4 linked regions of the Struthio camelus genome follow. The protein of the gene in region 1 interacts with the protein of each later gene in a pairwise test. Links are inferred from orthologs where the notes say so. Each region holds a gene or a part of one and is shown in the gene's direction. Other genes may lie near its edges. The genes, in order: DAZAP2, POGZ, MAPK1IP1L and TAX1BP1.

What was found.
Region 2: the proteins of DAZAP2 (region 1) and POGZ interact in binary tests that used the Homo sapiens proteins (3 or more experiments, as listed by UniProt). The two-hybrid records come from large-scale screens. The link is inferred for Struthio camelus from reciprocal best matches to the Homo sapiens genes DAZAP2 and POGZ.
Region 3: the proteins of DAZAP2 (region 1) and MAPK1IP1L interact in binary tests that used the Homo sapiens proteins (3 or more experiments, as listed by UniProt). The link is inferred for Struthio camelus from reciprocal best matches to the Homo sapiens genes DAZAP2 and MAPK1IP1L.
Region 4: the proteins of DAZAP2 (region 1) and TAX1BP1 interact in binary tests that used the Homo sapiens proteins (3 or more experiments, as listed by UniProt). The two-hybrid records come from large-scale screens. The link is inferred for Struthio camelus from reciprocal best matches to the Homo sapiens genes DAZAP2 and TAX1BP1.

Annotation. Positions count from the first base shown.
Region 1 is NC_090969.1:2,097,702-2,105,655, reverse strand, and holds the start of DAZAP2 (DAZ-associated protein 2), read left to right. Parts: upstream 1-4,948; 5' UTR 4,949-5,088; coding exon 5,089-5,101; intron 5,102-7,572; coding exon 7,573-7,694; intron 7,695-7,703; exon of another isoform or gene 7,704-7,930; intron 7,931-7,954. UniProt on the Homo sapiens protein: In unstressed cells, promotes SIAH1-mediated polyubiquitination and degradation of the serine/threonine-protein kinase HIPK2, probably by acting as a loading factor that potentiates complex formation between HIPK2 and ubiquitin ligase SIAH1.
Region 2 is NC_090971.1:208,879-216,735, forward strand, and holds the start of POGZ (pogo transposable element with ZNF domain), read left to right. Parts: upstream 1-4,853; 5' UTR 4,854-5,260; intron 5,261-7,857. UniProt on the Homo sapiens protein: Plays a role in mitotic cell cycle progression and is involved in kinetochore assembly and mitotic sister chromatid cohesion.
Region 3 is NC_090946.1:79,478,921-79,486,445, reverse strand, and holds the start of MAPK1IP1L (MAPK-interacting and spindle-stabilizing protein-like), read left to right. Parts: upstream 1-4,520; 5' UTR 4,521-4,653; intron 4,654-7,525.
Region 4 is NC_090943.1:39,462,320-39,469,943, forward strand, and holds the start of TAX1BP1 (tax1-binding protein 1), read left to right. Parts: upstream 1-4,620; 5' UTR 4,621-4,785; intron 4,786-4,807; exon of another isoform or gene 4,808-5,169; intron 5,170-5,220; exon of another isoform or gene 5,221-5,341; intron 5,342-7,624.

The DNA of each region.
Region 1 (7,954 bases):
CTGAATTATTTTTACTTCATTCTTTCACATCCATATCAGCTGAAAAGAATTACACCTTCTGTCTTTCTTTGTAGAAAAAGCTAATGGACTAATTTTAAATCCGTGCCTCATGCTCACCTTTCCGGGTTCATCATAAGATATTCATAACTCACTTCAAAAATGCACTTCTGATTATACATGAGTGAGTATATACATTAGAACTTAGGTAATATGCATTAATGTTAAAAAAGCGTAAACACCACGTCCCGTTCTTCAGAGGCTAAATTCTAGCCCACATCCTTTCTTGTGTGGATCGAAAGGTTTCTCGAATTAACATAACGTAGACTAGACTATCCTCTTATTACCAACAAAATATGATAATATTTAGTGCAGATTAGCAACAAATTAGAGGAGCTCAGCAAACGGTGAGGTGATGTGTAGGCAAATCATTAAAGTTTATACTTAGAGTCCACCGACTTCGATATGAATTAAGCACGTGCTTAACATTTGGCAGAGGTTAACACCACTGCACGAATGTTAACAAACATACAACCAGCGCTGACCACATTTTCATTAATAATCGAATTAGTTGTGTTAAAGCATCTTTGCCCGAGTACAGCTGTTATTTGAGACTGCAGCGCAATTCTGCTGAGAGCCTGGTTTGCATATGCTGTACTGTGATTATGAATATTTAAATACTTCCATCTAGTTGAATTTCAGACTCATTTACATACATTGGCATACTATTTAATATAATGCATATGGGGAAAGGGTGCATATTGCATTTTTAATTTTTCTTCAAGAGGAATTGATTTTATGAGTGCCGAAAAAGCTTTTTCTTCAGGAAAATAGCTTGTTGCGGGGGGGGGGGAGGATGGGGATTTTAATTAACCATTCGACAGAAATAGCTGGTAAAACTAAAACGCTGACTGTAAGAATGCGTCCTTTGTTCCAGAGCTTGCTCTGTCGATGAGAGCTCTTGGTAGGTGACCAAATTAATATTGCAGCTTTCTTGTCCACACTTCTTTTGCTGACTTGGCTGCTCTAATCAGATTCAGTAATGGGTCAGGGAAGGGTTTGCACCTGACCATGTGGTTTCTGGCACATCTAATTTGCTACAGAATGGTTTCCAGTCCTACAAGGAACAAATATTCCATGAACCAGCTTATTCCAGATGTTCCAAGAGTGACTGAAAGTGCAGGAAAAAGCAAGCCAGACTTTATTTTGGCTTCCATGCAGCAAAGTGACTCCAGTTGCTCACAAACTGTGCTGAATCTGAGCTCAAGCACATGCTTTTAGCAGTCACAGAGGGGACTTAATGCAGCTTCTCCAGCACCATGCTAGATCTGGCCTTGGACTTCTTCTTCTCCCCGGAAGATGTAAATAGGCTCTAAAATTCCCATGGGATTTTCAGGCCTTCCTTATGTCACTTTGTTACTGGGACCAAATTTCACCCAACGTAAAGCCAAGGGGGACAGAACCCCCTGAACTTCATTGGTGGTGAAAGGAAGGGCACAATGTTGCCTAGGTGGAAGATATCATGAAGTAATTCTCAATTGTTTAGTCATTATTTTTAGGTAATTAGTTACAGGCCTACACCTGCAGGGTGCTCACTGCCTTAAACAACCTGTTACCTCTGATTGCTCACCTGAGCAAAGTTCACAAACAGGTACCTGCTTGTGAGGCCAGCAGCATCCTCAGCTGACTTTTCACATGTTCTTAAAGTGGCAAATCATAGGTATTACCCAAGCCAGTTCTGCTCTCCATCGGGGTTAAATAACCTCCCGCCGGGTAAATAAGGACTTCCAGAGTGGGCCTTTGCTCACCCAAAAGGCAGACTGGGACCATTTATGCCTTCATCTGTTTTGCATGATGCCTGCATAGTGCCAAGGCGACACCCGGCTCTTTGCAGACAGTCCCTTTGCCTTTCAGAACTGCCCGGCGTGGGAAGCAAAGCCCGCTGGCACACGGCCAAGCATCCAGAAGCTGCCTCAACTTTCACAGGTTTCCATTTTGGGACCGCACAGCTCAAGACACCATGAGCTGGTTTTTTTTTTTCTTCCTCCAGAGCTTTTGATGGTAACTGGAGTTTTCCTCTTGGAGGCCCAAGAGGCCCTTAAACAAGGTAATCAGTGATAAAAATACACATAAAAACAATCCCAAGGCATTTGAAGGTAGGTGCCTTCTGAAGAGCCTGGCCCTTCTGAATGGAAAGTGTATGCTTGCCCTTTGCACCTCCCAAAGCATTTTCACTTCTCCTGTGCAAGGAAGCTCTCTGTATAGGGATGTCAGCAGAGCAGAAGTAGTCATGTATTTGTTAGAATAAATAAGGCCTGAACTCGGGAGCTGCTGAACAGCCTCGTTTCTGAGTGATTTCAGCAAGCTCTGGGGCTTTCCAGGACTGGGTTGTAGAGGGGGAAATCAGAGCTCGGAAATCACCTTCCTGGATGCAGCTTCTTTCACTGCTTGGAGGTGCTCTCCCTTGCTTTTGCTGTGCTTAACTCCAGCCCACCTCACTCAGCATTTCCCTGGGCAGGTTTCAGGCCATCTCTCCCACTTTAAAGGGTAAATATTTTTTTACAGTTCCCGTACAGTTGCAAGGTGAAGAACATTTTCTGGGCATGAATCATTTATGAAGCCCTCCCAGGCACACCAGCCATTGTGCATATTCATCAGGCAGCCGGTACATTATTCATGAGATGTTCACTTAAACAGGAAGAGAACAATGATATTGTTGATTGAGATGCCTGAAAATGAGCTTGATAAAGAAGGTTCTGCCCTCAAACTCTGACCAAAATGCAGATAGAAAGTTTAGCAAAAAATCAGGAAAGAAAGGGGGGTTGGTTTTCTTTTTTTTTTTGGGCTCCTTTTATTGCAATCCATATGGATTTTTTTAAACTCATTTCCAAGAAGGAAGACTTTACACATAGAAACTACTAGGGAATTGCATCATACCTTCTCCATACACAGCTCCAGACTTGTGACTGCACCTTCTGCTGGTGGATCTTGGGCAGGGGATCGTGACAACAGGTCTGTACATAGCAGCTGATCCATACCTCGCTGAAGAGCTTTACTTTTGCTCCTGTTATGTCTGAAGTCCCACGATGACAGCATGATCCAAACCCTATCGAGCAATCTGCAACAGATTTTTATAACAGTATTTAGACCCTAAGCTCATACCAAAGTCCTTAAAGGACAGGCTACAATTGGGGAAGTCTCTTAAGGTTAGATCACAAGCGCTGATTCAGCTGACAGGTGCTCAGGGCAAACGCACCAAGGGGGTGGGAACTGCCCACTTCTGCAAAAGTGGGCCTAATTTCAAGGCAAGAGGGTGCTTGAACCAAAGACCTGTTATTTCCATAAATGTACTGCTGTGCTATTGCTGGATGAAGGGGAGCAGCAGGGCCGAAGCCCAAGAAACGCACTCTTCCTCCTGCATCTTTACCTTCAACTTCTTAGCAACGTTTTGGCTACGTTCATGGCGAGAAGGGCACATTACAGTCTCTCCAGGAAGGAGCCTGTTCTTTAACGCAGGCAAGAGGCGCTCTGTGCCCTCCCCACGCGCTGGGGGAGGGCACACCAACGCCGATGGGTCCCATTGCAGGATGCTGCCGTCCGAAAGGAAGGTCTCTGGGGCAGCTGTGGGCTCACTGCCACAGGGAAGCAGAAAATGGGGTCTGAGGAAGGACTTGGGGTCTTTAACAACAGCCCCAAGCATACGGTTTAGAAGAACTAACATAACCTGGAGCTCAGGTTGCAGTAACCAACAAAGCCCTCACTGTGCTAACGAGCAGCTCTGCCCACTGATGCTTCACACAGTCCTTAAAGGCTTAATTAAGCTTAACAATATTTGGAGGTTACCAACCATTTCCATTGATCTTTTATGCATGAACTCGAAGGTGGCTTCTTGAGTTGCGTCTAATCCCAGAGGAAGCAGGGAGAGCGCCAGGGGCTCTTCCCCCTCCGTTTCCTCGGTGCCACCCCAGCCCTGCGAAGGCTCTTGCTGGACAGCGCAGGCAGCTGGGCCAGGCTGGGTCCTGCCAGGGACCCCTCAGTGCCCCTAGGCCCTGCAAAGGGACCTCCCTCACCCCCACACCCTGCTTAGGGACCCCCCCCTCCCACCCCCAGACCCTGCCTGAGACCCCCACCATTACTCTAGGCCCTACCTGGGGATCCCTCCCTCCTTGCTAGGCCCTGCTTTGGAGTCCCCCTTCCCTCAGGGCCTGCTTGGGGACCTCACAACTACTCTAGGCCCTGCTTGGAGACCCCTCCCTGTACATGAGGCCCTTCTTAGGGTGCTCCCCCTCCCAACCCTTGGGCCTGCCTGGGGATACCCCTCCCTACTAGCTCTTGATTCAGGGTCCCCTATCCCCCAGGTCCTCTTCAGGGGGCACCAAAACTACTTTAGGCCCCACCTGGCTCCATACTAGGCCCTGTTTAGGGCCCCCCCCTTTGCCCTGGGGCCTGAACTGAGGACCCCAAAACTACTCTGGGCCCTGCCTAGGGAACCTCTCCCTCCCTGCTAGGCCCTGTGTAGGCTCTCCCCTCACCTATGGGGCCTGGCTGCCCCCCCCCCATGCTTTTAGGACCTAGTTAGAGGCCTCTCTCCCCCCCCAACCCCTATTTGGGGCCCCCCTACTACTCTAGGCCCTACCTGCCCCCCCCCCCCCAACTGCTCTTAGCCCCTTATAGGCCACTCAGGCCCCAGGCCCCTGCTCTTAGACCCTGCCTGGGGCCTTCTCCCTCTCTCCAGGCCCCACTCAGGCCGACTGCTTTTAGGGGCGCCACCCCCCGCCCAGGGGGCGGTGCTCCGCCGAGCACCGCCCCCTCGCCCCGAAGCCGACGGCCCCTTTAAGAGCACAGGCCCCGCCCCTCGTGCGTGATGACGCAGAGGCGCAGCGCGGCGCTAGCGCCCGCCCCCGCCTCCCCCCCGGCCCCGCCCCCTTCCCTCCCTCCCCCCGCGCGGGCCCTGCCCCCTCCCTCAGCGCCGCAGTGACAACAAGGAGGAAGCGCGCGGCAGAGCGGGCAGAGCGGGAGCCGCCGCCGCCACCGCCGCCGCCACCGCCAGCGCCGCCCCGGCCTCCCCCCGCCGCCGCCGCCGCCGCCGCCATGAACAGCAAAGGCAAGGCCCCGGCAGCGCGAGGCCCCGCCCCCCGCCCGGACGCGGGGGCCCCGCCGCGACGCGCCCACCTTCCCCCCCCCCCCCCCGGGCATCGACTCGACTCCCGGCAGGTCCTCGCCCTCCCCCCGCCCCCCCCGCCCCGGCCCGCTCCGGGGCGCGGCGCCTTTAAGGGCCGCGCCGCAGCGCGTGACGCCGCGGCCGGGCCGGGGCTGCGCGGGCGCCGCTCGGCCAATGGGAGCGAGGGGTGGGCGCGCGCGCGGGTCGCCATGGCGCCGCGCGCCTCGGCCCGGCCCTTAACCCTGTGGCTGCCGCGCGCCTCGGGCGGGGCGGGGCGAGGCGGGACCCCGCCCCCCGCGGGTGACGTGTGCGTAGGGAGCGGAGTCCCCCCTCCCCCCGCCCCGGTCACGTGGGAGGGGGGAGCTGCGGTAGGGGGACCCCCCCCGATGACGTAGCGGCGATCCCCCCCGGATGACGTCAGGGGGACCCCATTAGGCGTCGGGGGGAGCTGGAGTGGGGGACCCCCCCCGGATGACGTCAGAGAGACCCCATTATATGTTGATGTGGAACTGGAGCAGAGGGACCCCCGAGGTGACAGAGGGGACCCCCGATGATGTAAGAGGACCCACTGGGGGCAGGGGGACCCCCTGGGTGACAGAGGGGACCCCCGATGATGTAAGGTGACCCTATTGGGGGCAGGGGGACCCCCTGGATGACATAGGGGCCTCTGATGATTTAAGGGGACCCCACTGGGGGCAGGGGGACCCCCTAGGTGGCATAGGGGGACCCTCAATGATATAAGGGGACCCCCCTGGGTGACATAGGGGACCCCCAATGATGTAAGGTGACCCTATTGGGGGCAGGGGGACCCCCTGGATGACATAGGGACCTCTTAATGATGTAAGGTGACCCCATTGGGGAGGGGGGGCCTGGAGCAGGGGGACCCCCTGAGTGACATAGGGGAACCTATGATGATGTAAGGGGCCCCATTGGGGGCAGGGGGACCCCCTGGGTGACATAAAGTCCTCCTGATGATGACCCCGTTGGGGGCAGGGGGCTGGAGCAGGGGGACCCCCTGGGTGACCTAGGGGACCCTGCAATGATGTAGGGGGAGCTGGTGTAGCAGGATCCCCTGGATGACATAAGGGACCCCCGGATGAGGTAAGAGGCCCCCATTGGGTTTAGGGGATGCAGGAATGGGACCCCCCCCCCAAATGATATAGGGGACCCCCCGGTGACAGGGGGGATCATTCTGGTGATGGGGGGCTCCCCCTGGGGGGGAACCCACTGGGGTAGGGGAGACCCCCCCCCCACCTACCATGCAAAGGGGTGACCCCTCACCCTCGGGGGACAGCATAGGGAGCGGGACCCCCCCCGGGGTGGGGGGGCACCCGCGGGACCCCCCCCCCGGCCGGCTCCCGCAGGACGCGGCGGCGAAAGGGCGCTGCTAAGCGCTCCGGCCCAACCTGACTCACGCTCCCGAGGCGCCTTCCAAGTCTCCGCTCCTGCGAGGGAGCCGAGATGTCCGCAGGGCCGCGCTTCGGCCCTGGCCTGACCGTGCCACGGCAAAGCTCCCCGCTCGCCCCTTCCTCCCTCCCTGCACCCAAACGCACGCACAGGGGTTTTTTTTTTTTTTGCTTTTTTGTTTGTTTGTTTGTTTTTTTCGCTCCCAACCGCTGTGCCGGCTTGGGGAGAAGAACGCCTTCGGAGCTCGGACCGTAGCACCAGTTGCTCTTTGAACCGTGTTGGCAACCTCCGGATGCGACAGAGCAATTAAATGCAATTCCCTAACAGTCTTCACTTAAAGATTAACTCTGTTCTGAAACCGCTTAGGTTGGCAGGTGAAAGACATGTCACGGAGACATGATCTTTGTTCTGCTCCAGCTTAAAAGGCCCAGGGGTGGCAGGTATCGTCTCCGCGTCAGATCTGGTTTGTTTTGCTGGCAGTACAAAGCGCGTTGCACCCTTTCTCTTCAGTACGAGCCAAACGCAGCACTTGTTTCTCGGGATGGGAGGCAGACGGAGGGACGGGTCTTGCGTTATAAAACGTTAAGATCGCCAAGAGATGCTCCCTGGAAGCCTCGCTGGTGGCGACGCGCTAGGAGCTTCAAAGAGAAACCCGATCTCGGGGCGGTGTCGTTCCCGCATCGCCCCAAATCTGAGGCTGCGAGTCGACTGGAGAGTTCGCGAGTCCGAGCGCGAGCGGCGACCGGGGACGACGCCGTTGGGTTGACTCCCTTCGCCAGGCTTCCTGCCCTTTTCGGGAGCCTGATTCCTGGAAAGGATTTTCACTCTCCGTTTGGCTATTAGGCCCCGACTGAAACGCCTCTAATTCATTGTGTGCAGACGCTCCTAGATCCGTTACTCTGCTCACGTGAGAATTGAAAAGAGGGGCTTTCCGCAAACTCAGCAGTTTCCTGCCCAGCTTCGCGGAGCGTTTTCTGACTCTGGCTGAATTCTTTTCTTCCTTGCAGGACAATATCCCACCCAGCCGTCCTACCCGGTCCAGTCTCCGGGCAATCCTCCCGTGTACCCACAGACTATGGCCCTTCCTCAGCCGCCGCCATACACGGACGCACCTCCTGCTTATTCTGAGGTACGCAGGATCCTTCTCCTAAGGTTTATTTTATTCTGGGGCCCCTCCAAAAGAGAAAACTCTTCCAGGAGGTTTTTAGCTGCAGGGATTTTCTTAGCCTGGAAGATTTGTTTGCTGTTCGTATCGCTGGGCAGCAGTCGGTCCCCACAGTCTCTCGCATGAGACCCGAATCATCCACTTGAAGCGACAAACACTGTTCAGCTTCCCCTTGAGTTAAGATGACAAATTTAGCCAACCTGTAGATTTAAAATACATCTAAG
Region 2 (7,857 bases), on another chromosome or scaffold:
TCTGCTCCTTATTAATACTTTTGTTGCTCAGTTAGGCTCTCTCAGAAATAAGGAAGAGAGACCTGTATGAGCTGAAGAACTGGACCCCAATGATCTTTAGTGCCCATATTTGTTAGATTAAATGTTTGGTGCCTTTTAAAAAGAACTCCTAAGGTTTGATCTGAAACCTCAGTATTTACCCTTATTGCACAAATATGCATTCAAATAATAGCTTGTAATTGTGATATATCTTCTTGGCAAATGGGATCCAAAACTTCAGTAAGAACTCTAAAAATATCCTTTGTTCATGGGCTCATTTGTTTTCAAGAGGAAATATCTTTATAAATGTAACTCCAAATGCAAAGCTCTAACTGTTAATCAATTCCCCTAGGACCTCATATTGTAATAGCTTATTTAACTAAAAACGAACAAACCAACAAACAAACTTTAAAGGATCCTCAAAAAAGGAACAAAATAAATTGTGCTCTTTGCTTCTCTACAAGATGTTAAAACAGCCTGGCAGATTTTCACCCTAGACATAGAAATTTAAATTTTTAAAAATGATTTTAATAACCTTTTCAAAGATACAGAAATGGTAACTGAAACGTGCACATTTAGGAGCTATGTAGTTTAAAATGGCTTAAGTGAAACCCTAGTTACTCATTCCTATCTCACTGTATCCGCTAGGTTGTACAGAAACAACAGTGACCAAGAAAAAAAATGCTCTACAAATTTAGTTATCATTAAGAAATTCTGGAGAGAAGGGAGAATTTATAGCTATAAACTAAATAACTTTAGCTGAAAATGTTGTACTCTGTGTTACACCTTGCCAATATGCATGAGAAACAATGTATTTAAGAATTAAATTGAACATGGAACTAATTAATAGGTATCCTCAGGCATCACAGTGACCCATTTGTGCAAAATATTAAGGAAAAATATTTAATGGAGGATTCCCCACATCCAGTCTTTTGAAATAAAACACCACACTTGATTTCTGCTTCATGGATGTTTCCAGGGGAGATTGGTAAAAGCATTTTAGGAAGATCTAGAGACATTTATTTCAATTTTTTTTTGAGAAAAAAGAAAAGTTCAAAACTTTATATGTAAGTTAAAACATGTGGATGCTTTAAACTTTCAGATCTAAGGAATAATAATTAAACCTTAAATTTAAGTTTGAATACAGTGGTATAAGTGAAATGGAAAGACAGTTCTGTAACCAAAAGGAAACAATGAAACGTCCTACACTTGAAGTGCAGACAAATGAATTGAAAAAATCAGAGAAAATTTGACAATTTGACAATTAAGTAGTAAGCTCGAGTGTTTTGGGCCACCAGCATGACTCACTGCATAAGCATCTGTCTGCCTTCACATATGTGGCTCAACCTATCTGCCACAAGAAAAAAAGAAGTCTCATATATATATAAAACATGTACATACACACACACTATATATTAAATATATATTATATATAAAATTTTGTTTTCATATTGTAAGTTGCATTCTCAACATTTGTTTCTTTCAAACATATTCGAGTGGAAATTTATGCTCCCTTGATATCTTTATTTGTTCTTCTGGCCAGCCCCGCACTAAATTTTTCTGAATATAGTTAAGAATTGGAAAATGTCTACATCTCGTTCCACTTTCAGAGCTAAAGTACATCCTTGCAAAGAGTTTCTCAGCTATTCTAATACCATATTGTGAAACCTTTTGACTTTTTGCTTTGACACCAAGGAGGCTGCAGGTGGTTATAATCTTAGACCCCTGGCAAAAGCCTTACACAGCAAACGTCCAAAACACTGGCAACCTGCAGAAGCAAAACAAAATATTCTAATTTACTCTCTTTGAGATATGTAATTTATCAACTGAGTTTTCCTGTGTCAATCAAACTTTTTACTAAAATTTAAATTACATTAGGAAAACGTGTAAGGATTATGTTGGGATGCATATCTGGACCTGCTTTACCATCATACTTAGATTGGTTCATGGATGCTGACCTAAACACAGTCGGTTTTTCTTGTGAATGAGTAGTAAGGAAAATAGTTTTTTTTTTCCCACAGATATTTACTTTCTTTGCACTTCAAGATTTTTTTCTTTTTAGCTGCAGATCATCAATGTAAGCACCTGTAGTGCAGCAAATCTAGTAAAATGTCCAGGGTGCAGGTACAGTTGCTATTTATTGGATGAAATGCAAATGTTCACCTATATACTGTAAAATATATGTAACTAATAATTTTTTCCTAAATAAAAAGGAACTTTCTTTTTGGAGCAAGAATATCAGACTCCTGTCTAACTGTCCTAGTGAATTTATGCATTTCAACAGCAAATGAAAAAATCTCATTTTATTGTACTCCCCCAAATAGAGAACTTTCCTTCTGTTCCACTTGTGAATGAAAAACAAAAAAACTCATCAGTTCTGACATGATTTAAAACAGCTACATTCTGTCATTAATTTCATTTGAATTTGGTATCTGCAGTACACACACTGGATAAAGACAAAATCACCATGGTCAATTCTTTTTTTCACTTTAGGTATAAGAAATATTGCATTTACATGGAAGAAATCAAATTTGGGATCAGTAAGTGATATTTTCATTGGTGAACACAAACATTATTCATCAGTCAGTACTGTAAAACTTCATCAGTAAATCCTAGTTGCTATTGACATCGGAATTCCGATTACAAACTAACTTTTTCCATCACTAGCAATGCCAGTATTAGTGGCTGTTTTCCTTTTTATTCAATGAAAAATTACTTTTTATGCATAGCTTCTGTCTCCAGATGACATTTTTGGAAAAAGCCAGTGAAAGTTGCTAGTACTATATGAAATAATTAAATAATACTTCATCCAAGGCAGAGGCTCCAAAGTGCAGTCAGGAATACAAATGTATAACTACTGATAATAGTATTTGTTATTATTATCAGTGGCATAACCACAGAAGAGAATGTGGCCCTTCATGTTGCATATATATATACATATACATACATATATATATATATATATATATATATATATGATTTAGAGATGACACACAGTTAAATGAAAATGCTTCCCCCCTTCAGTATGACGTGAAGTTGCCTGGTGTACTGTACAAACTAGGAAGAATGACTGGTAACTCATGAAGAGCAACAGAAGAAAATTAATGTGCTTGCTTAATGAACTGCAGAATAATAAATCACATTCTAGCAACACATGGATATCACAGCAAGGGGGTCCATTTGGGAAATATACTACCTACCAAATTCCTAAATAGTTTTTTCAAGAATGAATAAGCTAACATTTCAAGGATGTTGAAAACAGGTTAAAAGAATTCTAAAATCTATACACGTATTTTTGTTAAATACGTTAACTATTAATACTAACCACACATTATTCTCAATTCTCTTCAATTATCCTCACCATATTCTCTTCAATATTCTGCCTGTACTGAACGCAGTTAAAAGCTGTATGTCCTAGCATTACTAAATTATTCACAATAATATGTTTATTACTAAGGATATAAACCATTTAAATTTATGTTAGGGAGAAACACAGTCACTGATTTTATCTGTTGGCTTGACAGCCCAGGACACTTACATGGCACTGATCCAGCAAGGTACTTAAGCAAATGCATAATTTTAAGCATTTACATAGTTGCTTTGATTATATTTGGATTGTTTATATACTTAAAGTTAGGTACGGGTTTAAGTATCCACTTAAGCAAAGCCTTTTTATCTCTGTGGACAGCTCCTAAGGTTGGTCTGTACTGCTATATCTACGCGCCTCAGTTCTGACTTCCTTGCAATCTCTACAGAAGCTGTAGAAGTTTATGACAATTTAATCCTTTGTCTCCTCCTTGAGGCTGTCACTGAGGGATGAAATCACTGCCAACTTTTGATGTGACTGAGTTTTTTTGAAGGGCTATGCAACTATTTATCTCTACTTTCTATCAAAAAGGCCTCAAATTTTGTGGGCCCTGGACATCTCTAACCACTGAGAGTTATCTTCTGGAGGTGGTTGTTTTGAGACCCAGCCACCTGAGAGGCATTACTAGCCATGCTACGGAGCTGAATCCCAGCAACGCCACCAGCCACTGAACCAGTTACCCTTTGCGGCCGATGGGTTTCAGCCCTGTAACCACATCAGCAGCTCTTCCCATCTTTCCCAAGACAGCTACTAGGCTGGCTTGACTCTTGGCCACACCAAAACCACCAAAATAAAACTCTGCATTGTAACTTTCAGTCCTAATCATAACATGAACCACCTGGTTGTCGCTGCGCCTACGGCGAGCCGTCACCATCGGGCTAGCTGAAGGCCAGCAACCGCAGCGGGGCTGAGCGCAGCCAAGGAAGGCGCGAGGGCCTGAGGGCCCGCGAGGGCACCTGCCCCGGAGCCTGCCTACACGCAGCTGAGCTCCCCAGGCTCCGGCGGCGGCCCCGGGAGGCGGTCGGGCGCCGGGGGCGCCGGCCAGGCCTGGGGGCCGCCGCAGGCAGCCCCGCCGCGGGCGCCCGCCCGGCAGCACGGAGGCCAGGCGTCGCCGGCGGGGCAGGGCGCGCCACGCGGGCCTCGGGGCAAGGCCTCGGCGCGGGGGAAGCCCGGGCCCCGAGGCGCCCCGCGCGGCGGCGGCGGCGGCGGCGGCGGCGGCTCCCCGGGGGCGGGGGCGCGGGGGCGCAGGGGCAGCGGCGGCCGCCGGCGGGGCGGGGCGGGGCGGGGCGGGGAGGGAGGGGAGGGAGGGGAGGGAGGGGAGGGGGAGCCGAGCCCGCCCCGCCGCCTTTGCGCCTCACGCAAACTTGGCCAGGGGCAGGCTAGGGTGCGCCGGCCTCCCGGTGACGTCATCCCGCCGCGCGCCAATCCGCCCGCCGCCCCGGGGCCCAGGAGGAAATGACGTCACCGTATCCCTCCGCCGGCCAGGTCCCCTTTTTTTGTGTGTGTGTGTATGTGTGTGTATGTGTGTGTGTGTGTGTGTCTGTGGGTGCCTTCTTGTGTGTATCAGCCCGCAGGGCTCTTTTTTTTTCCTTCTGACAGAGCGGGGGGGGGAGAAAAGCGGGGAGTCGCCCCCTTCGCGAAAAAAAAAATATATATAGAAGAGAGAAATTAATAATCCTCCTCAGCATCATCACAATAGAGGTTCCCGCGGGGAGGGGGGGTTGGGGAGCTCATGCCACCTGCCCTCCCCTGCCTCTCGCTTCGCCCTGAAAGCGGCGCCGTGCGGGGGGGCGTGTGTGTGTCACTTTAAGAGCGTGTGCGAGCAGCCTCGGCGGAGGAGGCGGCGGCGGCAGAAAGAGGGAGCGAGCGAGGAAGGTGAGTTGGCGCCAGTCCGTTATGTGGGGGCGGGAGGGCGGCGGGAGGAGGGCAGGGGGCCGCGCGGGTGGCGGTCGGTGACCGTTGGAACCGGTTCGAACCGCCCGGGTCTGGGGGAGGGGGGAGCTGCTGGGGGGGCGGCGGCGGCGGGGCCAGCGCGCCGTACACAAAGCGGCCGCGAGACGCTGGCGGCGGGGAGGAGGGAGCGCGAGCGCCGCGGCGGCGGGAGGGAGGGCTCGGGGCTGCCGAGGCGGAGGAGGGGGAGGAGCCGCCGCGGCTCCCGCTGGGCGGCGGAATGCCGCCGCTCGCCCGCCCGGGCTGGGGGAGGCGGAGTGATCCGCGCACCCCTCCCCGCACCCTCCTGGAGGGGGGGAGGCGGTGAAGCGGCCTTGGTGGCTCCCTCCGCTTCCCCCCCTCCCCTTCGCGCTCCCCCCCCCCCCCCCACCGCGCAAACAAAACACCTCGGCGCCGAGCGGTGCCTTTTCCCGGCTCACACAGGGCCCCCACTCCCCCCCCCGCCGGGGGAGGGGACGGCTGCATCCTCCCTATCTTACCTCCCCCCCCACCTTTCCCGCGGCTGGTGCTGGGTGGGCGGCCATGTTGGGCACAGGGATTATTTTTCTCTCTCTTTCTTAGCAGCCACAATAAACTGAGGACGGGTTTTGCTTTCTTCCTGTGGATAAATGTCCTTTCTGCCTTTCTTAAGGGAAGTTAGCAGTGAGGATAGTCTCTGTCTACTCTGGAGGGTGAGAGAACCCCTTTTTGGCCTGCCTGTTCTCCACCGCTCCATTACCTTCCTGGCTGAGGGGATCTGGGTTTGCCTGCCTAATAACCCTCTCCGCAGGAGCTGACCGCTCAGGAACAGGAACTGCTTGACTTGTTGCTCACCTGTGCCTTCAGTGTCATCTTTCCTGTCCTCAGGACAAGACAGGTGCCACCACATCAGTGTTGGACCCCTCCCCCCCTTCCCACAAGCATGCCTTCTTTAGACTGTTAGTTACTTCTTCACCTTGTCCCCAGTGTCCAGTGGAAAAGGCTCTTCCCAAGCACATCAGCTTCTAAGTATGTAAAGAGGGGGAGGTTTGTTTTTTGTTTTTGTTTGGCGTTAGGCTGCAGGTCCTTGTACTGTACTTGCTTGCTGTACTTGAAATCTTGGATTCCTTGCTGCCCTTGGCCAGCACTTTTTCCCTGGTCAGCAGCATGCCTTGATCTACCTGCTTGCCTGGCCTCTTGCTAGGCTATAGTAACACAGTTTGGTGTGCCGGGTCGGGGAGTCAGTTTAGTGGGCTCCTGCATTTCTCAAAAGATTTGGTCCACTGAAAGACTGTATGGAAACACCCCATAGCTGATTCCTCAGGCTACAGGTATTAAAAATTAGATGTTTGGTATCATCAATGCATTTGCTTCCTTTTACCTGGTCCTTACCATGCTACTGCTCAATGCATTTGCTTCCTTTTACCTGGTCCTTACCATGCTACTGCTCTCCCTAGTATGTGGGAAACCTAGACTGCTGCTATTAGGCCATCCTTTCTTCTTCCCCTTGTCTATGCTGTGACATAAAACGTGTGGAGATGTGGGAGAGGCATGAATTCTGCTGCCCAAAACCCTTGCAGAAAACATGCAACACATGACAACACACACAGCTTTATTTTTATTAACTTGGCAGCAGTTGCAGCTGTCACCAAGACATGCCAAATGGGGCACAAGTGAGTGATTGGAAGTGGGGGGTAGAGGAAGGGGAATCTGTTGCTTCTTTTAGGAAATACTTTGCAAGGATATACAAATTGCATCCTCTCTTTCCTAGATCTCAGTGTATACAGTATAGTAGTTTGAGGTTGTCAGATGTTAAATTTTATCTTTGAATGTAAGGTCTAGCTTACTGTATGCGCATCTTTTTTTCTATTGTAGAATTATTAACATACGTAAAATTGTCCAGTGGATTATTAACATAGGTAAAATTGTCCAGTGGATCTTCCCACCCAAAGAACTTCCTCTGCCTTGCTACTTTAAGCTCTAGCTGCGGGTAGGGTTCTGCAAGTGTTACTTGTGGTTGGTCTTGTGTTTATGGTTATATATGGTTACATTGTTAGTATGCGTGATCCCCACAGCTGCTTAGATACTGTCACAGAAGGTACAACTGTCTTCATGCAAGTAGAGCCTGTGTCCAGATTGAAATTAGTAGAGTGCTGTATAGTGTCTACTCACAAAAGAGCCAGTTGCACAAACATAGCTATAGGCATGCTCTTGGACTCTAGAAGCACAGGCTTGCAGCTTATGGGTAGTCCTAGGGTCACAAAAGGTGCCAAAGTGTTAAGCCAGTCTGCAGAGGCAAATATCGGAAAGCAGTACATTTTTATTGTTCTGCAATTCAAACATGAAGGTAGATAATAATCATGATAATTGGGTGTGTAATAATAATACATTTTAATTAGTAGGCATTGCACACTTCAAAGCCTTTAATAAGACATATAAGACTTAAGATGATAGTATTCATAGAAAGTTTAATAAGCCTTTTAAAATAATTTCAGTAGCCAGCAAAGTCAAGTCAACCACATCAGTCAACAAAAATAAATTTACCGTCGCCTGAAGGATATAAC
Region 3 (7,525 bases), on another chromosome or scaffold:
TGTAGGGGGAGGAACGTTCTGTGTTTCCTTTCTCCCTTCTTTTCCTAAGTAGCTGGTACTGCCCAGAGTTAGATGGGACGCTAGGCTGGCTGGACCTTTGATCTGTCCCGCTATGACTAGTCTAGGTTTTTCCTCCAGGGGAGTATGTGTGTTTTGTGTCTATATCCATTAGAGAATCAGGGCTGTGGGAAATGTTGACTCTACTCTTAGTGCTAGGCCAAAGCTTTTAAGAATCGGCTACTCCTTACCTCTCCTTCCTCTTTCCCAAAAAGAGCTTGACTTACAGTTGCAAGATTGGAATAAAATAAAATAGAGGGGACTTTTATTTTCCTTTTTTTTTTCCCCAAGCCTTTGAAAAAATGAATTTTCAAGATTGTCTCCACAGCAGTGAGCACTTGAAAATATGGTCCCTTAGAGAATTAAAGGCCATAATTTCATATTATCTGACTGTAGGAGCTGTGGCTGTAAGCCAAACAGCAAATGTCACAAAACTCATTGAGAGACTGTGAGGAGTGCAACATTAGCCCAGGAACCACAGTTTGTGATTGTCTGGACGGGCAGAGGAAGGGGGAAGGGAAGACTAGGAGGAGGATCGATAAAGGTTCGGATCCCTAAGGAAGGCAGGGGAACTGCGGGTCCTTCTTTGGGACTTGGGAGAAGGTGGGCACTTCTCTGGGAGAACACACAAGAAGCAAGCATGCCTAAAGTCCCCCGGCTACCAGCGCTGTATGGTGTTTTGTGCAGGAGGCCAAAGTGACAGAAGCTAGAAGCAACTTGAAGGGCTGAAGTGGCGTTCGCATGAGTTGCCAAAGTTCTTTTCTGGTCAAGCTTTAATTTTTAGTACTTTTCAAAAATTCCTTTTAGGGAATGGAAGATAACAGGAACAGGTCCCAATAGGTGGGTTTCATTGGTGTCGCATAGAGAGGAATTTTCTAATTCTTATTCACTGAAGAACAACAAAAAGTGAAAAGTAGCTACTGTTACTGCTGTCAGATATAATCAGTAGCTCAAAAATTTGAAAACAAACTCATGCAGTAGCTTGACACATAATCAAACCTCTACATATCCACCACTATAGAAAGAAAATATACCAAAAAAAATCACTCCTTGTCACAGAAAACCCTGTGCATTAGTACCTAAGTGACTATCAAAGTGTCTTTAATGACAGTTCACCTGTTCATAATTGCACAACAAGCAGAGAGCAATGATTCCTTTCCAGCTAAATCTAGTTTATCTCATCTTCTCAATAGGGTACATTTGCCATGCCAGTGCACTTTGAACCAGTTTTATGATTTTATCTTCATGGTCACAAGCCTCTGCCTTGAGAAAGAGCACTTATTAACTAGAGACTGTGTCATTTTCAAAGTGATTTATTTTATGAGGGTTTTGAAATAAATTATCAGTTGGTGATTGGCCACAGGGGAAAAGCATATAAAAGCTTAGCACATGCATTGAACGTACCATCTGGTATCCTTTAAAGTCTAGCTTCAGGGTGGCTCAGCTAATTCTTCAGAGTGCATAATGTTCACAGTGCACAGTGAAGCATGAATATAAAAGTGGAGTGCCATAACCCAGTAAGAAACAACGTTGTAACTGTAGCTTAATATCTTACATCTTACTGTTGTAGCCCACCATCAAAGGCTGGCGTTTTCTTAACTAAAACTGATTTTGCATTCCATAACTTTAATCTTATTACAAAAATCAGAACTACGCCCCCCCCCCTCTTTTTTTTCCCGGTTAGTTCTAAAAGGGATGCCTCCGCTGTGTTTTAGATTTCCTCATTCTGACTCGCTGATGTAAAAGCAGGCGATACAAAAAGCATACTGTTATTGTTCCTCTGGATATCTTGTTTGTGGTATGCACAGCCTTTTGGGTGTGATAAAGTTTCCTGACTCTGATGTTTGTCACATCTCGAGATCTCTATTATTATCCCTGAAAAGCACTAAATTCTGACTTGTTGGGGACCAGAAGCTGAAATACAATGATATATAATTGAAAATCCGGTAGGAAAGGTACAAACACTGTCATTGTCTCTGCTCCCACATTCCCAGCGAGACTAAGGTATATCCTTCAACAGTGTACTCACAAATGGTCATGATATTGCTTAAAATGCATAATTCAAAGCTTACTTTAAGTATTGTCTATTGGTCTTTTCCTCCCAAATTCAGAAAGGCTAAGGTAGACAATTGTACCCAGTTTTGCCATTAAAAGACGAGAGACGTCAACAAACTGGAGGGAGCTCAGAGGAGGGCCACTGACGTGCTTAGGGGATTAGAGCACATGACATATGAAAAGAGGCTGAGAAATTTGTTTTTTTTAGCTAGGAGAAGAGAAGGGGAGGATGGCTCTAATTGCTGTCTCCAGCTACCTAGGGGGTTATAGAGCAGACAGATGCTTCTCAGTTGCAGCAGGAAAGTCTGACTAAGTACAAGAAATAAATGCTTCACAATGATAGCACTGAAGTACCGGGCTGACCGTCCAGGGATGTTGTGCAATCTCCATCTTTGGAGATATTCAAATGCTTCACAATGATAGCACTGAAGTACCGGGCTGACCGTCCAGGGATGTTGTGCAATCTCCATCTTTGGAGATATTCAAAAGGCAACTGAACAGAGTTCAAAGCTAACCCTATTCTGAAGGGGAGACTGGTCCTTTCCAACCTATATATATATATTTGACTCTAAAGAAAAACAAAAGTTGCATATGCTTGCAATGTCCTGCAGCGTGGACCTGTGATAAACAAGTGGCATGTGTATTATCACATGTCTTTCTGAATAATTTCAGTAATATCATCACAGGTCCTATAATGGAGGCATGGAAAATAACGCCTCTTACTAACTGGGAGCCAAGTTGCTTCTGCGCGGTTGCCATTGTCTTGCTTGAGAGCTGCAGGCCAGCAATAAATTTGCTATTTCAACCCTTTTTTTCCCGTTACATATTGAGAATGAACAAGGAAGTGTCTTCCAGCAGCATGTGGCCAGGGCTAGGTGCTAGGACCCCCAAGTGCTGTTGCTTGCACCGACTGGATCAGCCGTACACAGACCAAGTGAAGTTGCATTTGCAGCTCTTTTTACAACCTTCAGCGTATACATGCATGCAGATGAAGAAACACATTTGCCCGAGCAAGCCGAAAACTGTGTACACAAACAAATATTTATAAGAAAATGCACAACCCTTTGTTTCGGCAGAAAGGGGGACACGTTTACGACGTGTCAGATGGTCTTAACAGCAAGGACGGCTGGCGAGGTTATTGATTAAAAGCGCCGTCACCGTCCCAGCTTGATACGTAAGGTGAGGCATCATAACCCGCCTTAGCCACATGTGTGCTCGTTAATTAAGCTTTCTAACGACCAGACTGTGCAGGAAGAAGCGGGCATGCTCAGGGGACGCCCGCTGCCACCGCGGCGCGACGGCAGCCGAGGGCCCCGCGGCAGCCGCCTGGGATGGGCGGAAGATGCATTTCGCTGTTATTCGCTCACTTTTCCGAGCGAGGCCAAGGCAGAGGTGGTGTTTCCACAAGGACCGAGCGTCAGTGATCGCCGGACACTTGAAAAGGCGATTGCGAAAGAGCTGTGAAGTCAGCCTGAGTTTTCCACGGGATTTAATAATATTCCGAGTGAGAGGATTAACTGGCTTTTCACACCATCACGGGACCGGGTGTGTAGTAAATTGTTTAGGTAGTATGAATTGCGCAAATAAATTGCTTCAGTAAAAATATTTGCACTTTCCTGCCTGTCGCGGCGACTGCGACCCTTGGGGCCTGCTCCTGCTGGTGGTTTTTCCCTCTCCTTTCGGAAGCAGGCAGGATAACGGCGCTGAAAAGCGCGTCACAGTTTGGGAAGGGCAGGGCAGGAAAACGACGGTATGTATTTAGCCGTCATGGCCGTGACGGTCTGAAGGGAGAAGGTAGGTAGGTAGGGAGAGGTAGGGTCTTTTATCAGAAAACCTGGAAAACCTGCCAAGTTTTCAGGTGCGCAAACCGTCTTTCAGGTCCCAAAGGCCAACGCTAAAACTGGCTCTTTTGGGTAGCTCGGCCACGCAGCCGCGACCGCCATGCGGGGGGCTTCCGCGCTCGCCGAGGGGAAAAGCAGAGCGCGGGGAGGCAGGAGTTAAAAGTCCCTCCTCTCACTGGAAACACCCCCGGCGGGAGGCAGAAGTCACTTTGGTGAGGTTTTCCCGATTCTCGGTTTCCTGAGGAAGGGTTTGGGCTGGGGGGGGGAGGGGGGAAAGGGGCCCGTGGCGGCACCGCGCGCGAGCCGCGGCCGTTGGGGCGGCGGCGCCTCCCCTCAGCGCTAACGGCCGCCGGCCGCTCCCGCTAGGGGCCGCCGTGGGGCGGCGGGAAGAGGCGCCACGTGACCGCGGCGCCCCGCTGAGGCGGGGGGGGAGGGGAGGAGGAGAGAGGAGGGCGCGTCGTCACGTGACCCGCGGCGGTGTGGGCGGGGAGAGGGCGGGGCCGTCCCCCTGGGGAGGCGGGGCTAAGGAATACGTGACCTTCCGGTAGGTGGAAGTGGAGGGTGCTGATTGGGTAGTGGGGTGCGTGACGTAGTTCCGCTTCCGCCTGGGCGTCGGAGGGTGGCGGTGCAGCTGCCGGGCCGGTTGCTCCGGGCCTGCGTCGCCGCCGCGCTCCTCCCTCCATCCCTCCGTCCCTCACAGGTAGCGGCGGCGGCCCCTCCCGCCCGGGCCCGGCCCCTGAGCGAGCGAAGGGGGAGGCGGGGGGGCTCCCGGCCTCGCCGCATCCCCGGGGAGGGCGGGCGGTGCCGCCCCGCCGCGGCCCTCGGGCCCTGCCCTGCCCGGCGGCGCGGGCAGGGGGCCCGGGCGGGAAACGGACTCGGCTCGGCTCCCCCGCGGGGTTTCGTGGCGCAGCTGGCTCCTGCCGGCCGCCGGGGCTTTGCGCTTGTGCGGGGTCGGCTTGGCGGCGGCGGCGCGCTGGGGTGAACGGATGCGCCTGAAACGGTTTCTGTGTAATGGTGGTATTTAGTGTGTCGTCACCGGGTGAAACATATCGCTAGTTCCTGTGTGCGAAATGCCTGTAAATGACTGTCTAAATGAGCGTGCGTGATGTCAATGACTGTTTAGCTCCAAAATTCTTCCTTGCTGGAGAAAATCTTTGGCGAGTCTATTTTCCATCGCTTGTGGGCATGTTTATTCGTTTCATGAAATGCAGCATGTTTAAATTTTGTAAGGTAGCTGGCTTATTGGACAAGCTAGTGCAATGCTGTATCGAAGAACATATTGCCTGGGGAGAGAGCTGCTTAAATGGCAGATTTCATCTGTGGGGGAGAGCTCAGTGTTTCTACTGGATCTCCATGGAAAACGGCGTTGATCTGATGCTATTCAACTTCATTGTCAGTGGATGTGAGAGCAAAGGCTGTTGCAGCTTTTTAAAACAACCACAGAAAAAGCTCAAAGGCTGCAATCCCAAGACCTGTGAATGATGCCAAGATGTGTGGTAAATATTAGGCCAATCCTGGAAAGCATTAAGTTCATTCAAGGAAAGTGCATCTTAACAGTGCCAAATCAAGATGAAAAAGGTACAGCCTCGCTCCTTAGATGTGGCTGGTATCCTGGAAAACCAGTTATCCTGGAAAAGAAGCTCTATAAAGTAGTGGAAAAGTTCATATTTTCTACTGGTTACTGTTGAGACTAGAACTGGGATCTGGCAAGCAATTTTGGTGCTGTTATGCATTTGAAAGGCACAATTGGAGAGGATGTGGAATAGTTACCCTCAGGGTCTGTCTGCTTAGTTTGTCCAGAAAAAAAAAAAGCTTTTAATTGCTCAGTATGTAGCTTCTGTCAGAGGAGAACATAGGTATTCTTTAAATAGCTCTTACAGCTAGTTCAGGAAGACTTTTGAAGATTTGGTAGTTGGAAGCTAAAGCTAGAAATTAGAAATAAAGCATATTTTTTAAAGTGAGGATAGCATGAAAATGGACTCTGTGACATCCAAAGGAAGTGTAGATGCAATCATATGGAAGATGCGTCTTTATTATTGTGGGCTGCTATTGTGAGCTATGTGTCTTCTGCAAGACTCACGGTGTGGGAGTAGTGTGGACAAGAGAAATGTTATTGGTTTTATACCACAGCTGGCAGACAAGCAAGCCACCTCAGAAGTCATGCATGTTTTGCAGTTTTGGGTCACCACATCACAAATGGATGGACCATCTGAAGTGATTAGGTCCAGTGTTGGTGGGGAGGTAGCTGTGAAACTGAGTGGCCTGTCGTACGTGGAAAACTGAAACAGATTGTAGTTCTTTCTGGCTTTAAATTTTGCAGTTCTTAACCATTTAAAACCTCTGTTTTAAAGAGTTATTTTTCTTGTAGTTGATGATCTCCAGTGATTGCACAGACATGCATCACGCTTTGTTGTCATTCTTAATTAAATCTGTCTTGAAAATAATCTAAAAACTAAATCCTACTCTTGCCCTTTCGATCAAAGTAGACCTGTGAAAGGGCAAGAAGATCATCAAATCTAAAATAGCTACCAGTGATCTGATGACTGCTTTTTCTTTCTCATCTGTGTATCAGTGTTATTCATCTGGAGAATAAATACCTCTGCAGGTCAGACTGAATGATCACATAGTGCACAGCTGGATAAACCTGGCTTCCAAGAAGGCATTAAAGATAGGGAAAGGACAAGTAAAACATGTTGGTGCTTAATGACTGAAGGCAGAAGCTGCAGAAATTTGCATATTTTGGAAAACACTTAGAAGCTGTCAAAGATTTGGTCTCTTTTCCATTTTATCGGTATAGCTATGTTGGTAGTTATATTTATGTGGGCAGAAATCTTGTTGTAGATGAGGTTATGCTGGTAGGGAATTAGTCATGTTACAGTGACAAAAGAACCTTTTTGCTGATAGAGGCATGCCACCCAGTGGAAATGCAGCTTATATCAGCAGAGTTGTTGCATGTAGAAAGCATTTTTCTGTATTTGAGAGAGAATCTTGTAGACAGGAACTAAATCTGGCACATCGAGCGTTCAAAAAATATCATGCAATTCAAAAAAAAATTGTGAAAGCAGTTGATACTTTGTTTGGGGTATTTTTAGCCGCTCCCCCCCCTCCCCCCCCAAAAAAAAAAAAAGTTTTAGACAGTTCATTTTTATTGTGGTCATTAGGGATTGATGATGGATAAAAGCCAAAGAGGGCAAAGCATGGAGGAAACGTTACTACATCTCTCTGTTTCCTTTGGGTAGGATATGATCAGAGAAGGGCTTATAGCTTAAAAGCATTGAACTGTTTTATTTTGGAAATGGAAGGATTTAGCCTGTTGCATGTAGCACCATGCTTCTATGTATTTCAGTTGGTCTTGAACACTGTTGGTAGAATAGGAGATTATCAGTGCTGTGTAGTAGGGCTTCTCAACCTTTCTGCAGTGTAGATCCCAACAGATTTACTTGTCTTAGCTACCTGTTATTAATTAATTCTCAGGAGTAGTTCCCAGTATCCAGGAGTCCATGGACTCTTGTCCAAAGGTTGTGCTATATATGGTTTCTGAGTAGGTGCAGTAGAAGTCTGTGCGTTAGCCC
Region 4 (7,624 bases), on another chromosome or scaffold:
CTTTTGGGAAAAGCCACAAATTTCATCAATCTCACTCATACAGATTTAAAAATCCTGGCAGCTTTTGAATAGCTTTTCTTCATCAGTTGCAATTAAGTGCTGGAAAAGAAATCCAAAATATACAGAGAGAGGCTTTCGCCCTAATAGTAAATGTTACCAATAGCGTGCAATTTCTAGTATGTTCCAAAGGTTTGCCACTCCATCTTTCTGAAAGGCAAAGTCTGTATGCCCCGTGATTAGATTTCCGTAAATGCTGAGCAATTCAGGGTTGTCAGCCATAATATAAAACATTATTTATAACTGTTTAACTGTTTCAAGAGTATAGTTAATAGTTTTCTGTAACGTGATCTTAAAGAAGTTGATTAAGTGTGCTTTACAACGTGACCAGAAAGAGCTTCCGATTAGTGACATAGTGATACATATATTTTACATCTCACATGGCCCATACTTTTAAAAGTTGGGAGTGTTGAAATAGGAGTTGAACCAAAATGAAATCAAATCATTAGAACTTGAGCATTTCCTTACCACACTTCATCAATATCATCATGTCATGCCAATACACTGAATATCTACAACATAAAGCACCTTTCTCAGGTACTAAAAATCATAAATATGTAATTTGTCTGTCACTCATACAAAGCAGAGATGGGCCTCAGGGGAAGAACTGAGGTCTGGAACCAAAACTCCTCATGGCTTTGGTTCAGGCCATAATATAGTTAGTAAACAGAAATAATATTAGGATCTGAATCTGAGCACATGTTCAAATACACCCAAGGTTAAACAGACGTGATGGGGCCCCATTTCTAATTTGAAGGCTATAAATTACTAAAGGAGCTCATATTTTTAAAAAGATACTGAAATTACGCAAAAAGTAAACGATTTCCAAATATTCAAAAAAGTCTGTTCCCCAAGAGGCTGTAACATGCCTTACACTTCCTTTGGCCATTCTGTTTAGTGTAGTTTTTATTCGTCACTTATCTCACGCCTGAGAAGGGACTTGTGCAGATTTCATGCGGACAAAGGAAGACTGAATGTAATTACAAAGCAGAGGGATTTTTACACTCTGTAAGTACCAGCCTGAATTTCAAACCTCTTCAGAATCTAGTAATGTTCAAATTCAATAACTGGATTCACATACATTTTTACCTTATTTAGTGTTTCTGTCAAAACCACAATTATCAACTTGCCATTGTTTTTCTGTCCTCATATTTACACGCTTAAGAAATGTAGACACTTAAGAGAAGAGTTCTACCAGCTTTGTATTTCCAAATAAATACTCTGGTGAGATATTTTTCATCAACAATATAAGACAGATATTCTTTAGTAATTGTATATTTATGTAAATAAAAAGAGAGAAAACTGGGGTTTTTTTCAGCCTTAAGAGGAGAAGGCTATAGGGAGATCTTTTTGCCACCTACAGGTAAGTGAAGGATGTATAAAAGATGGAGCCAAACACTTTTCAGAGGTGCACAGAGAAAGAACAAACGGTAACAGATAAAATTGGAATGCAGGAAATTTACAGTTACATATTATATTATATATTACATATTATACATCATATTATATATTACAAATATATTACACATATGTTATAATATTATATATTACAAAAATATACAATTTTTTTTTTTTTTTTTTTACAATTAGAGTTGTCAAACACTGGAACAGGTTCTCTAAGCAGCTGTCAAATCTTCACCCTTGGAGATGCTAAAAACTTGTCTGGCCAAGGCCCCAAGCAACCAGCTCTAATAAAGTTCTGCTTTGGAGGTCACTTCCAAACTTCATGGTTCTGATTCTATGACATACATGCGGCTAATTGTATCAAAAGATACTTGACATTCACTGATTTTGCCTTTCAAAAAATCAAAATATTGGCCAAACACTGATTCTACATGCTTAGAGTACAATTCTGATATACATGATAAACATATGATTTGGTGAAAAATACCGGCTTGATCGACAACCCCCTCCTCCTGTGTTCTCATTTAAATCAGTGGGGCTGAAAAGGTGAAAGTCAAGCCAGAATCTGAGATAGGATTAACACCATCATGCCTGTAACAAGCTTTTCTAATTGAATTAGTGTATTAGTATTAGCCACCCACATGACTCACCAGAAATGTTGATATCAAACTTACAATACTAAGTATTTTGCAGCAAATGTAGGCAAAGACAATAACAATGTTTTGCTACTCAAGAGCAAGCTTTCCAAAATATTTATGTCACATGGATGAATTTCAGGAGATAGTATCTAATCTTCCTTGCCTAGAAAATTCAGACTGATTAAGGCATTTAACCATTAATTCTAAGACCAAGTACAAGTTTCACCAGTGCCAAGCACAATTTTCTCAGTCCAAACCTTTGTTTGTACCAGTACAGACACACTGACTGTTGATCTCGGAGTCACAGTGCACAGCTTGTCAATGTGGGTGAAGTCCTTCATATCTCAAAGCAGGACGAACAAAATAAGAAAAGGCTCTGAACACTCTCTATATAGGATATTTATGAATTCTAGAGGGTGAGGCTGGTATCTAAACTTAGGATACAAATATGTAAATAAGAATGCTAATTAACTCATTTAATTATTTCAGTAAAAAATCTGCTTAATTTGAATAACAGAAGGACCAGTTTTAGACTTACACAATCAAGATACAGAGTTAAAGAAATTACATATTTTTCTGAAAGCTGTGGCTGTAAGTACAAGCAAAGCCAGGATTATTCCTGATCTATTTTTCCTTAATTAGTTTACATTGTACATGTGACAACAGGCATATATAGTTTGTTTTGCCTCCTTATACATGCATTTAGCAATGGAAATAACTTAATACTGAATTATTACTAAACAATATCTCTTTTGGCTGAATGAACATTTACGAACTGAGTACAGAAATACATGAGGATTCTTTAGAAACTCAGAACTGAGGATAAAGTTTTTTTATTAGGAAATGGAGGGGTTTTCCAGGCATTCACTGTAAAAATTACGCTAGTTGCCAAAGAACATCTTTATTTCAAACTACCCATTATATTCCCATAAACTAGCATCATAATGACGTTAAGTGAAAGCAAAACTGCTTGCTAGTGTCATCAACGTTTACACTACCCAGCTAGTGACTGTAAAACCTCCTTTCTTTCCGCATTCCAGACCACAGAACAGTGCCTTGAGACTCTTTAACAGCCCTGTATCACATGTGATACAGGGCAAAGAGCAGTGAGGAGAAAAAATGGAGGACAGAGATAAGAAAAAATAGGTCTCCCCACCTATTTATTGCTTTTCTGATTAACGCATCAGCTTCATTTTCCATTACAAACATCCATCTGGCCTTAAAGGAGAAGACTACCTCCTATACACCTCTCGTGTCTTATAAAAGGATCTGCAAGTAAAATGCAAGGCATTTACTGGTTTCCATGGATAGTGGAATATACGTTTACTGTAAGAATTATGAATTATATATAAAAATCAAAGGGTTACTTACATAATAACCTGTGGTAGAAGTGAAGTCCTAAGAATAATATTTTAATATTGCTTCCAGTGACAAGAAGTGCTAAACAGAAGCAAAAAAAAGATTCATTTTGATTACTTGAAATGACAATTTTAGTGGTCCAGTTTATTTTTGTTTCCGTTAGGACTGACCATGAGAAAGCTATGAAAATCTATGACCATGAAAAACTTGCCAAAAAATAAGGCCTATGGTAAGCCAATAATTTTGTCATAATATGCCTCTCAAAATAAGCTGTTGAGAACATACATGAAAATACAGAAGAAAGAGCGGATCGTAAGGAGGCAAAGGTTTTAAAGACAACTTTCAGTAATGATCCACGTTCAGGGTACTGCAGGAAGTCCAGAATACTGATGATTACAGATAAGTATTTGTTGTCACTCAGCCTCGTTCTTCTGATACACGATCTAACGCTCGACTTTGGATAAAAATCAAGTAGACTCAGTGTATTTATTAGATAATGTACTTTAATGGAGATACGCCAATTTACGCAAGCAGAAGAACTGCATATACTGTAAGTATTTAATATCACTCTTATCTCACTCCTTGGTTGGTTTGGGAAGACCTGCAAAAGCTGGGAGATTAATAGTAGTGACTTATGAGGTGCAAGCACGCGTGTTTTGGATGGAAAAAGAGGTGATAAAATTAGGGTATGTGAGTATTATAGAATGGTCTAAGCAATGGTCTAAGAACTAATATGCAGAGAACTTTTGCAGGGGGCAGGTGCATTTTATGGAAGTAACAGCTGCACAGTTTTGCATATGCTAGGAATACCAGCTTGGCTAGGCTTTCTCACCCCTCTCCTTCCCTGAAGTACGCGCACCGTCTTGCATAACGAAGCAAGCTGTGCAACATGCTTTTTACGTGTGGTGTAAGCCACGGCTCCAGTGCCAGCTGGGCTGACGCTGGCAGGCTGGATACCTAGGGGCTGAACGGGAATGGTAAAGGGCGGGAGTGCCCTGAGATGTGGTGTCCAGGACGTGGCGGGGGGAAGAATCCTTGGAGAAACAGACCTGGGTGTTGCAGCGCCGGGCCGACGTGCGAGAAGCCTCATGACGACGCTAACCGCCGCCGCCCTCCGTCCCCGGGCGGGCCGGCCCGGGCCGGACCTCCGAGCAGCCCTTCCGACGCCCGCCGCCCCACGCCGGCTCCAGCCGGTTCCCGCTAACGGCCCGCCCCGCGGAGGGGGAGGGGCGGGGTTGGAAGTGACGCGAGCGGGAGGGCGGGGTCGTGAGGCGTCGATGGCGGAGGCCCCATGTTGATGTCCCCGGCGTCCTCCGCGCCTGCCTAGGTAAGGGGCCCTCTGCGGCCGGGGGGAGGAGGGGGGGACGACGACGAACGGGTCCGGCGCCTTCTTTCTCTCCTGCTTTCCTCCTCTTCCTCCTGCCGCGGGGGCGGGCGCGCTGTTAAACCCAGGGCTTCTGTTCTGCGCCATCTGGGTGCCTCTCTTCCTCCCCCCCCGCCCAGCTGCCTTGGACGGCTGGTAGTAGTGTGGGGGAGAGAGGAGCCGCGGCCGTTGGGGAGGGCGGCGCGAGGGGCGCGGCGGGGCAGGGGCGGCCGTTGGCCCCCGCCGCGGCAGCTGCGCAGGCGGTGCCGGAGGCTTTGCGGAGGCCGAGGGCGAAGGTGATTCGGGCCGGACAGGCGAGGCCGCGCGGGCGGCCGGCGGGGCAGGCAGGTAGGCCCGCGGAGTGGGAGGGAGGGCCCGGCAGGTAGGGGCCGGCGGAGTCAGGTGCGCCGCTGGCCGGGCCGTGCGGCTCGTCTTGTTTTCGTGTTTCCTGCCAGACAAGCTTGTCCTCCTTCGGTGCTTTTCGGCGTGTTAAAAGCGGAACGCCTCTTTCGGCCTCTCGGTGAGAATGGCTTGTCACGTCAGTAATAAAGCCTAAACGTAGCTCTTCCTCCTCCTCCTCCTCCTCCCCCCCCGGCTTTTCTCACACCGGTAGCTGTGAGCTAACTAAGCAAGCACCGAACATCCCCTAAGCTATTCTTGAACTGTTAGTGGATATCGGCTTCACCTAAGCTCCGAGGATTTTGCTGCTGGTGGACAGTAATCCCAGGTGATTCTGCTGGTCAGCACAAGTTCAAATTCGTAGTTCTGCTTTGGACTTGGAAAACAGATTCCCTTTATTAATGGTTTCAATAAAGATAATGCTCAGCTGTGGTAGCTGGCTGACCAGTATGCAGAAATGAATGCTTTGGGTTTTTTGTAATGTTTTCTTGTAATAAACTTCCCGGTATTTGAAATAGACCTATTTCAAAAAATGTTGAATTCCATTGCTTTTGTTATTAATGCTTTGCTTATTTTTTAACTTATCCTAGGTAACAAAAAACGGATACAGTCTGTTTCATGTCATTATTATTTAGCTTCAGAGACTACTAAATTATTAAAAATGAATGGGTTTATTACACTTGAAAAAAATAGTGACTATTCTGTTTTTTGGGGGGAGGGTTGTAAAAAACAGTTTTTTCTAAAGTTTATGGTTTGGAATGTTTTTGAGAGGTGTCTTGGATATAACTTTCTGATTGGGGGGGAGTGGGAATTTTCAGAGTTGTGCTAAGCTGTAGAACTTGCTACGCTTCTCTGTACCCTGGGGCTCTATAACAGACTGGATTTACGTGTATTCCCAAAAGATGTACTTCTTTATTGTCTCTAAAAAAGTTTTGTCTTTTCATATTTATTCGGATTCTTGTTTGTGTAAGTTTTTATCTTTGTCTAGTCTTTATGTCTGTTAATTTTTACTAGTAAGGCATTTTACATTTTTTTACTTGTGTTGTTCAGGGTACAAAACTGCTTTTTATTTAACATCCAATATACCAAAATAATGCTATGGCTGTCCATATGTACTACGTGTGTTACACTAAATGGGATGGTAAGAGGCTTAAAACACTGAGGGCTTAACTTAAGAGGTAAACAGAGATTTTTTTCTACTTGTTCAGACAGATGAGTATTTTTTTATTCCAGAGTGCATTTTATTTCAGAAAATGTGAGCTTTTCTTATTTCTTCACTGTTGCAAAGAAATTTTAAAAGGCTCTAGGAAATATACAGACAGTTCTTAATTGAGACTTGAAGTGGCCCATCCCTCTTTGGGATTGATTTCGTCATATATCTTCAAAAAATATTATCTCACACACTTGGCAGTAATCTCATTCAGGGTACATATTTGCTTGATCAGCATGAATTTATTTTTAATAGCGGTTGCAAGAACAAAGCAGCTCTTTTGGCCAGAAATGTAGTGTTAAATATATAAGGCCCTAATCCTCCTAATACCAGATGTTTTGACAAACTTATGATTGTAGACTGAAATCAGACAGTTGAAACTTAACCAGTTGTCCATCTTATCTTTTTGACAGAGGTGGCCGAATCTAAGGAAGGGAAGTTCTTGGTCTGTTTATGAAGCATCTCTTGCATTACTGTAGTTTTTTAGGGTAGTGTAACCTGAATGAGGTGGTGAATGTGATAAATGCTTCTACGATCTGGTTGAATTCAGTGTTAATCCATCCAACTTGCATATGCACCTGAATGTTCCCACTATCATCAAGTTCACTGTTTATGGCAGTAAAATTAAAAATGCAGGGCTAGGGGCGTATGTGTTAAAGCACAGTACAAGATGCCCACAGACTTCTATTTTCCTGAAGAGAGTAAACTCTTTGTCTAAACAGTTTTTTTTTTTTTAAATAAACTTTCTTGTTTGTTAAAAATGTCTTAAAATGAAAAATTGTTAGTTTTGCTGAGAGAAAAAAATATTTATACGTAAAAATGCTGTCAAAAGCATTAAGTAGCACAAATTCTGGGAAGAGTTTTAAAGTAAGGAAAATTATGGAACTTTGTTTCTCCTTCCCAGCAAGATTCAGAAACATTAAGTTTATTTCATGCAAGTCAGAACCCTTCTTGATTTTTTTCCTATCACTGCTTTTGCTCCCTACTTTCTGCTGCTGTTTCTGAGGTATAGTGTTGGGGGCATTCAGCCCAGGGATGTCTTTTCTGTGATGACACCAATATGAAGAGATGGCTACTCTTTCATTATGAGAAGTGATTGTTTTGGAGTGATGCTGAGGCAGTGTGCTTGGGAGACCTTGACCTATTGCTGTCTGGTTTTGGAACAGCAGAATTAGTTCTTAAACTTCTGTCTTG